2 linked regions of the Ovis aries genome follow. The protein of the gene in region 1 purifies or fractionates together with the protein of each later gene. This does not show direct contact. Links are inferred from orthologs where the notes say so. Each region holds a gene or a part of one and is shown on either strand. Other genes may lie near its edges.

Region 1 (3,650 bases):
CATATCCACCTTGCAGGATGGTCCATACATCACAGCAGAGGAAGCGGTGGCAGTGTATACCACAACTGTGCATTGGCTGGAAAGCCGTAGATTCTCGCCCATCCCCTTCCCCCCGCTCTCCTATAAGCATGACACCAAGTTGCTGATCTTGGCTTTGGAGCGGCTCAAGGAAGCTTACAGGTGAGGAGTAGAGTCGACAGGTCCCTGTAGGGAGGTGATGGACACAGAGTGGCATCATTTTTAGAGTCCACAGAAGGCCTTTCTGGGGATGGCTTCCTCTTGGTTTTCCCATTCACACTGTTTAAATTTATTTTTTGCCTGCACTGGGTCTTCATTGTTGCCCTTGGGCCTTCTCTTGTTGCAGCAAACAGGGGCTACTCTACTTGCAGTGTGTGGGTTTCTCATTGCAGTGGTTTCTTTTGTGGAGCATGGGCTCTGGAGCTTGGGCTCAGAAGTTAACAGTGCATGGGTTTAGTTACCCCCACGGCATGTGAAATATTCCTGGCCAGGCCAGGGATTGAACCCATGTCCCCTGCTTTGGCAGGTGGATTCCTAATCACTGGACCAGCAGGGAAGTGCCCTCATTCACCTTTTCTTTTGCCTTGTCAGTGTGAAGTCTCGGTTAAACCAGTCTCAGAGGGAGGAGCTAGGTCTGATCGAGCAGGCCTATGACAACCCCCATGAGGCGCTGTCCCGCATCAAGCGTCACCTCCTCACACAGAGAGCCTTTAAAGAAGTGAGTGAGATGCCCCACACGTTTTCTTTTGGCTGTGTGATTCATTCATGGCACCCAGGGTGTTTGGTGGGTTGGTGTGAGCCAGCTTCCTTGTCCCACAGGTGGGCATTGAGTTCATGGACCTCTATAGCCACTTGGTGCCAGTGTATGATGTGGAGCCGCTGGAGAAGATCACTGATGCCTACCTGGACCAGTACCTATGGTACGAAGCTGACAAGCGCCGCCTGTTCCCACCCTGGATCAAGCCTGCAGACACAGAACCACCTCCTCTGCTTGTTTACAAGTGGTGCCAAGGTAAAACTTTTCTGGGGTTGCCTCTAAGGAAGGCAGATACCTTAATTTCTACATTGAAATTCTCATCCAGATAGCATAATTAGTTTACTTTCTTGATGCCTGGTACCAAAGAAATGGTGTTGATGTTACACTGAGTGATTTGACTCTGCTAGCTAGCAATCCAATGAATGGAGTGGTCTTAAGATCTGGATAGGAATGTGACGGCTCTGTAGGCTCTAGTCCTGAAAGGGAACTTCTAACCTGCCAGAGCTTTGTGTTTCTTCCCCCCCAGGCATCAATAACCTGCAGGATGTGTGGGAGACAAGCGAGGGTGAGTGCAATGTCATGCTGGAGTCACGATTTGAGAAGATGTATGAGAAGATTGACTTGACCTTGCTCAATAGGCTGCTGCGTCTCATCGTTGACCACAACATAGCTGACTACATGACAGCCAAGAACAACGTCGTTATCAATTACAAGGTGTGTCTTGGGTCAGGGTGGCAAGGAATTGGGGGAAGCGGGAGGTGGTCGGGCCCACTGAGTTGGGATTTCCGTGGCGAGGGGAAGGCAGAAGAGGATGGGCCCTGAAAACCCTGGGATTTGGCTGTGGTTAAGAATTGTCTTTCTTTCTAGGACATGAACCATACAAATTCATATGGGATCATCAGAGGCCTGCAGTTTGCCTCTTTCATCGTACAATACTATGGCCTGGTGATGGACTTGCTTGTGTTGGGATTGCACCGAGCCAGTGAGATGGCCGGGCCACCTCAAATGCCAAATGATTTCCTCAGTTTCCAAGACATAGCCACCGAGGCTGCCCACCCCATCCGTCTCTTCTGCAGATACATTGATCGCATCCATATATTCTTCAGGTGAGTGCTTGCCTGGAGTCTTATTGTGTTGAGGTCCTTGCCCAGCTTCTGAAGCAGCTATTGTACTTTAGTTGACTTGCTGCTGGGTTGGCGCTCTGAAATGGGATGAAGTCCTGTGAGTAGGGTGGGAATTGGGAGTGGCCTCCACCTGTGGAGCCATAGGCCTCATGAGATCCAGTGTCCTTGGGCCTCAGCCACGCACCTTGTCTCTGTAGGTTCACAGCGGATGAGGCTCGGGACCTTATCCAGCGTTACCTGACAGAGCACCCTGACCCCAACAACGAAAACATCGTTGGCTACAATAACAAGAAGTGCTGGCCCCGAGACGCCCGCATGCGCCTAATGAAGCATGATGTCAACCTGTGAGTCTAAGCCTGAGGGACCCAGAGGATGATTAAAGGGACTTGATCAGGCGGTGTCCTGGGTGGGAGGGCGTGTTCTGTCAGGACGTCATCAGTCTAGCTGGCCTTTGAAGGGAAGCTCCTTCCAAGAGACCTATGTGACCCTGTGTTCTCTGTGGGCAGGGGTCGGGCAGTGTTCTGGGACATCAAGAACCGTCTGCCACGCTCAGTGACTACAGTTCAGTGGGAGAACAGCTTCGTATCCGTGTACAGTAAGGACAACCCCAACCTGCTGTTCAACATGTGTGGTTTTGAGTGCCGCATCCTGCCTAAGTGCCGCACCAGCTATGAGGAGTTCACCCACAAGGACGGGGTCTGGAACCTACAGAACGAGGTACAGTCTCAGGTGGGGCCGGGGGCAGGAGTAGGCCCAGCTGCATCCTCACAGGTGTGGGGTGAAAGGCGCAGCACACTTTCCATTGTCAGCTGGGCCTTCCTGGGAGCCTAGGGCTTAGTGGTGGTCAGAGTTGTTTCTTGTTCCCCTGGCATTTCCAGAGGTGGTTAACCTTGAGCTTGTGATGTAGGTGACTAAAGAGCGGACAGCTCAGTGTTTCCTGCGTGTGGATGATGAGTCAATGCAGCGCTTCCACAACCGCGTGCGCCAAATCCTGATGGCCTCTGGCTCCACCACCTTCACGAAGGTACGCACAGTAGTCGTGGCCTCTGTCCAGCTCATCCCTTCGGTCCTTCCCTGCTTTATTGTTCTTCTTTCCCAGCTGTGTTCAGAGTACAGTCTCCATGCTTCATGGTACAGCAGCTTAGAGTGTCAGATCAATTTACAGTGGTTTCCTGAGAATTCCCTGTAGGAATTCTATAGCCTACATCCGTGTAGTTGCGATGCTTCTAAGTTGAGAGTAGAAGTGGGATTTTTAAATTTGAAGGCTTGAAAAAAAAAAAAAAATTTGAAGGCTTGTTATCCAGGTCATACATTTAATCTTTTGACCTTTAATATAGCATGCATGTTAAAAAGCAAGTATAACAAGGTATCTTTGTTTATTTCCTCTTCAGTTGCTTCCAAAGCCCCCCACTCCACCCCTTTGGAAGGCAGCTGGAATTGAGAAAGAGTAATCTGAAGATTACTTAACTGTGTGGGCTTATGTTTTATCAAGGTTTAAAAAGTCGCCTTGCTCTTTCTGCTGTTTTCCCGTTCTAGAAATGGTGCACGTGAATGTCCTGGCTGTTGCTCTCAAGAGCATCAGTTATACCAAAAAGAAAGGGAAGTCTAGGTTCTTATCAGGTTGTATTTCAAAGTCATTGTCCAGTTTCTAGCTGTGGTGACGAGGCAGCATGATACTGGTGAGTTTGAAATCACTAGTGATCACAAAGCAGGCAAAACTGTGAACTTTACGGGCAGATTAAACAACTGTC
Region 2 (3,650 bases), on another chromosome or scaffold:
TCTCTACCATTTTTCCTTTCTAGTGTCGTCGTTTCGGGTATCAGATAGTCTTAAAGTATTTCAGTTATCACACACAGTTTAGGAGAGTCAGGAAGAGAAGGGTCGTTTGTTGTGCTTACCTGTGGTTCTGCTCTTTCTTGCTGATGCTCCAAGGTTTCTCTTATCATTCTCCTTCTCTTTGAAGAGGTTCCTCTAGCTGTTTAAGAGTAAAAGCCTGCTAGTGACAGGTGCTTTTAGTTTCCCTTTGTTTCAGATGTCCAGTATCTTTGGAAGCAGTGATCTTAGTTTATTAAACTTTTAGTTTGGAAAGTTTGAAATAAATCTTTTTGTACCTATAAAATAAATCTTTTTGTGCCTGTCACTCACCTTCGTCTGGTACCAGTCTGTCCCCATTCTTGTTTCTCCTGGTGGGGTTTTCATTTGTTTGTCAGTAAAAGAAAAGAGCTCTTCATACATGTCGCTGGCATGCGCTACAGTGTGATACTGAGTTACCTTTCAGAATTCTCACCCTCTGGTGGTGTATCCTACTTTACAGATGAGAGAAGGGAAGCTTAGAAAAGTGAGTGATTTGCCTCAGGTCACTCTGTGTTTGTTTCATTAGGCTGTTTCCTGTGTTTCTGGGAGAACCAAGTGTGTTCCGACAAGACCTGTAACAGATTTGAAGGAGTGTTCCATTTATTTTAAAATGTCTCTCAGAATTCCCTGGCGGTCCAGTGGTTAGGACTCTGCCAGGGCCCCAGGTTCAACCCCTGGTCAGGGAAGTGAGGTCACACTCGCCGAGTGGTGTGCTCAGAAGAAACAGAAAGTCTCTTGTGTATTTTTCTCCATCTTCCTGAGGGAAATGTTGCCTCGCTGCTTCTGTGACTCTTCCAGAAAACACATATCTTGTGCTCGTAGCAGGCGTGCGCTTTCGCCAGTGGTGACAGAAGCTGAGCTGTTTTGATGATCGCATTCTAAGTTTCCACCTGTGTCCCTTTTCCTTCCAGCTGTCTATCAACGTCTACGACTACAACTGCCACGTGGACCTGATCCGGCTGCTGCGGCTGGAAGGGGAGCTGACCAGAGTGAGGGCGGCGCGCCAGAAGATGAGCGAGATCTTCCCTCTGACCGAAGGTGGTGCCTCCGCAGCCGGGCTGCTCTCACAAGCGCAGAGAGTTGACGGGTCTTTCTTCCCGTGCTGAAAGTGGGGCATGCTCCTCATAAAAAGTTCAGAATAGATAAGTGTAGTGGAAAGAAGAAAATCCATCCAAAGGCAGCGACTTTTCGTTTCTCATCTTCTAGGGTTTTGCTACACATAGTTGTGGTCATGCAGCACTGAGTCACATTTCAAATCTTGATTTCTTTCTCGTAATGTTACGATAAAATATTTCTATGTCATTAAAATTTCCCCGTTCCCTTTCTGTTTCCCATTCTGGTATTTATGTATTTAATCTGTTCTCTCAGAAACAGATAATTGTAACTGTAGTATAGTTAAACTTTCATAAGCACTTTTAAATTTAAATGTTTCATACCTTATTTGGTCCACAGTAATTGGGCATTTAAGTTATTTCTACTTAAGTTGCTTATTTGAAATGTGATTACGCCAAGCACCTCTGTAGTTAAATCTCTATGCGTATACGTAATTGATCTTTTAGGGACAAGTGAGGTAACACAGATTCTAGATCCAGCTCTATCCCCCTTTCCCTCCCACAAAGCATGACTGTGGAGTGTAGAAGCTGAAATCCGATTGCCTTTCAGATGTCTTTCTAGCTGTGTGACGTTAAGTGCATTATATAAGCGTTCTAAGACTCAGTTTCCCCAGCAGTACGACGGGGATAACAGTAGTTTCTGCTTACGAGGCATTCTGTGTGCCTTGCTTAACACGTGCTTGGCGTGTCGTAAATGCTTGGATAGATGCCACTGTTACTAGTGTCACTGTGGCCTGCCTCACAGGATTTTGATAGATACTGAAAGAGAAAGTGTGTAAGTACTTTGCAGAAAATGAAACGCCCCGTAGCTGGAGGGATAGTATGACTCCAGCGACTTGATCTTTCTTGGAAGCGTCAGCCTCGTGTGTGCTTAGTGCAGGCTGTAAGAATTGAATTTCTCTGAACTGGGCCAGGGTGGATGAGGCAGACGAAGCCTGTGTGTGCTGACGCCTGGGGGTGCGGCGCCCGCTCTGCCCGCCTTCGGAGCGAGGGCCGCGGGACGGGCGGTGACGCGGGGCGCGGGTGTCTTGCAGAGCTCTGGCTGGAGTGGCTGCACGACGAGACCAGCATGGCCATGGACGGCCTGGACCGGGAGCACGTGTACGACCTCTTCGAGAGAGCGGTGAAGGATTATATCTGTGAGTCCCCTGCGGGCCGGCCCAGGCGGGTCTGGCAGGCTCCCCTCGCGTCCCTCTCGGCCGCCGGGCCACACCGTGAGGCGCTGCCCCCGGGAACGTCCTTCGACCAGCAGTGGGGAAGACTGGAGTGCGGGTATTATCGTCACTCTCTGTGGTTTTCAGTTGAGGCTCTTGGTTTCACAATGCGCGTGGAAGAAACAGTTGAAGGGAGGAGGTGAATAGACTCTCCCCCAGCATTTATCTCCAGGGAGAACTTAGCTGCTATTTCCAGGTGACTAAAGGCTACCTTTTACATATTGAATGGAATTTTAGACGCTTTGGACAGGATGCTTGTTTTCCCCCATACTCAGTTCAGTTCAGTCGTTCAGTCGTGTCTGACTCTTTGTGACCTCATGGATTGCAGCATGCCAGGCCTCCCTGTCCATCAGCAACTCCCGGAGTTCACTCAGATTCACGTCCATCGAGTCAGTGATGCCATCCAGCCAGCTCATACTAAAAAACTTAAAAAAAATTGAAATTATTATGGATTTATAGGAGTTTGCGAAGATGGTACAGAGAGGTCTTGTGTCATTTCTTGATCCAGTCTCCGCCAGTATCTTACGACTGTAGTATATGCGTGCTCAGTCGCTTCAGTCGTGTCCCACCCTTTGCGACCCTATGGACGGTAGCCCACCAGGCTCCTCTGTTGATGGGATTCTCCAGTCAAGAGTACTAGAGTGGGTTGTTATGCCTACCTCCAGGGGATCTTCCCAACCCAGGTATCGAACCTGCATCTCCTGCGCTCTAGGCAGGTTCTTTTCCACTGAGCCACCAGGAAAGCCCCATGACTGTAGGACAAACTCAAGGCAACGGCCCTTGGTACGTACAATGTCTGCATATAGTTTTGTGATATTTTATTTCACCACTGTCTCGAGCTACAGAATCTTCCATCACCACGGAGATCTGCCTGGTCTGCTGGCCTTTCACTTCAGTGAAAGTGAAGTGTGAACGCTTTATCTCTCTTTAAATCCAGTTTGATATAAGTATATCAAGTCTCTAAAATATTTTCTCTGCAGACACTGAGGACTGTATCAGACAATGTTGTGGATAAAATGTTTTTTAAAAAAGTCCCCATTGTTAATTAAATATCCCTTTTCCCTGTCTAATATTCCTCACTCCCCGTGTGGGCATTTCCCCTTGTGAGAAGTGTAGAGCCCCCTGTAAACCTGACTAACCCTCACTGAAGGAGCATTCTGCCTCAGAGAGCTAGTTAATTTTGTATTTCACAGCCCATGTGGCAGCTCTGTACTGGTGAGTGAAAACAGAGCCGCTAACAAACTTTAGC

What was found. Proteins that work in one complex are often made in the same cells at the same time.
Region 2: the proteins of PRPF8 (region 1) and SART3 purify together in Homo sapiens (affinity purification with mass spectrometry; 4 studies listed by BioGRID, with this or other methods). This does not show direct contact. The link is inferred for Ovis aries from reciprocal best matches to the Homo sapiens genes PRPF8 and SART3.

What each region holds. Positions count from the first base shown.
Region 1 is NC_056064.1:22,665,248-22,668,897, reverse strand, and holds part of PRPF8 (pre-mRNA-processing-splicing factor 8), read left to right. Parts: intron 1-16; coding exon 17-180; intron 181-609; coding exon 610-736; intron 737-837; coding exon 838-1,030; intron 1,031-1,301; coding exon 1,302-1,489; intron 1,490-1,642; coding exon 1,643-1,881; intron 1,882-2,096; coding exon 2,097-2,243; intron 2,244-2,405; coding exon 2,406-2,616; intron 2,617-2,806; coding exon 2,807-2,923; intron 2,924-3,650. UniProt on the Homo sapiens protein: Plays a role in pre-mRNA splicing as core component of precatalytic, catalytic and postcatalytic spliceosomal complexes, both of the predominant U2-type spliceosome and the minor U12-type spliceosome.
Region 2 is NC_056070.1:64,542,631-64,546,280, forward strand, and holds part of SART3 (squamous cell carcinoma antigen recognized by T-cells 3), read left to right. Parts: intron 1-986; coding exon 987-1,113; intron 1,114-2,221; coding exon 2,222-2,326; intron 2,327-3,650. UniProt on the Homo sapiens protein: U6 snRNP-binding protein that functions as a recycling factor of the splicing machinery. Promotes the initial reassembly of U4 and U6 snRNPs following their ejection from the spliceosome during its maturation.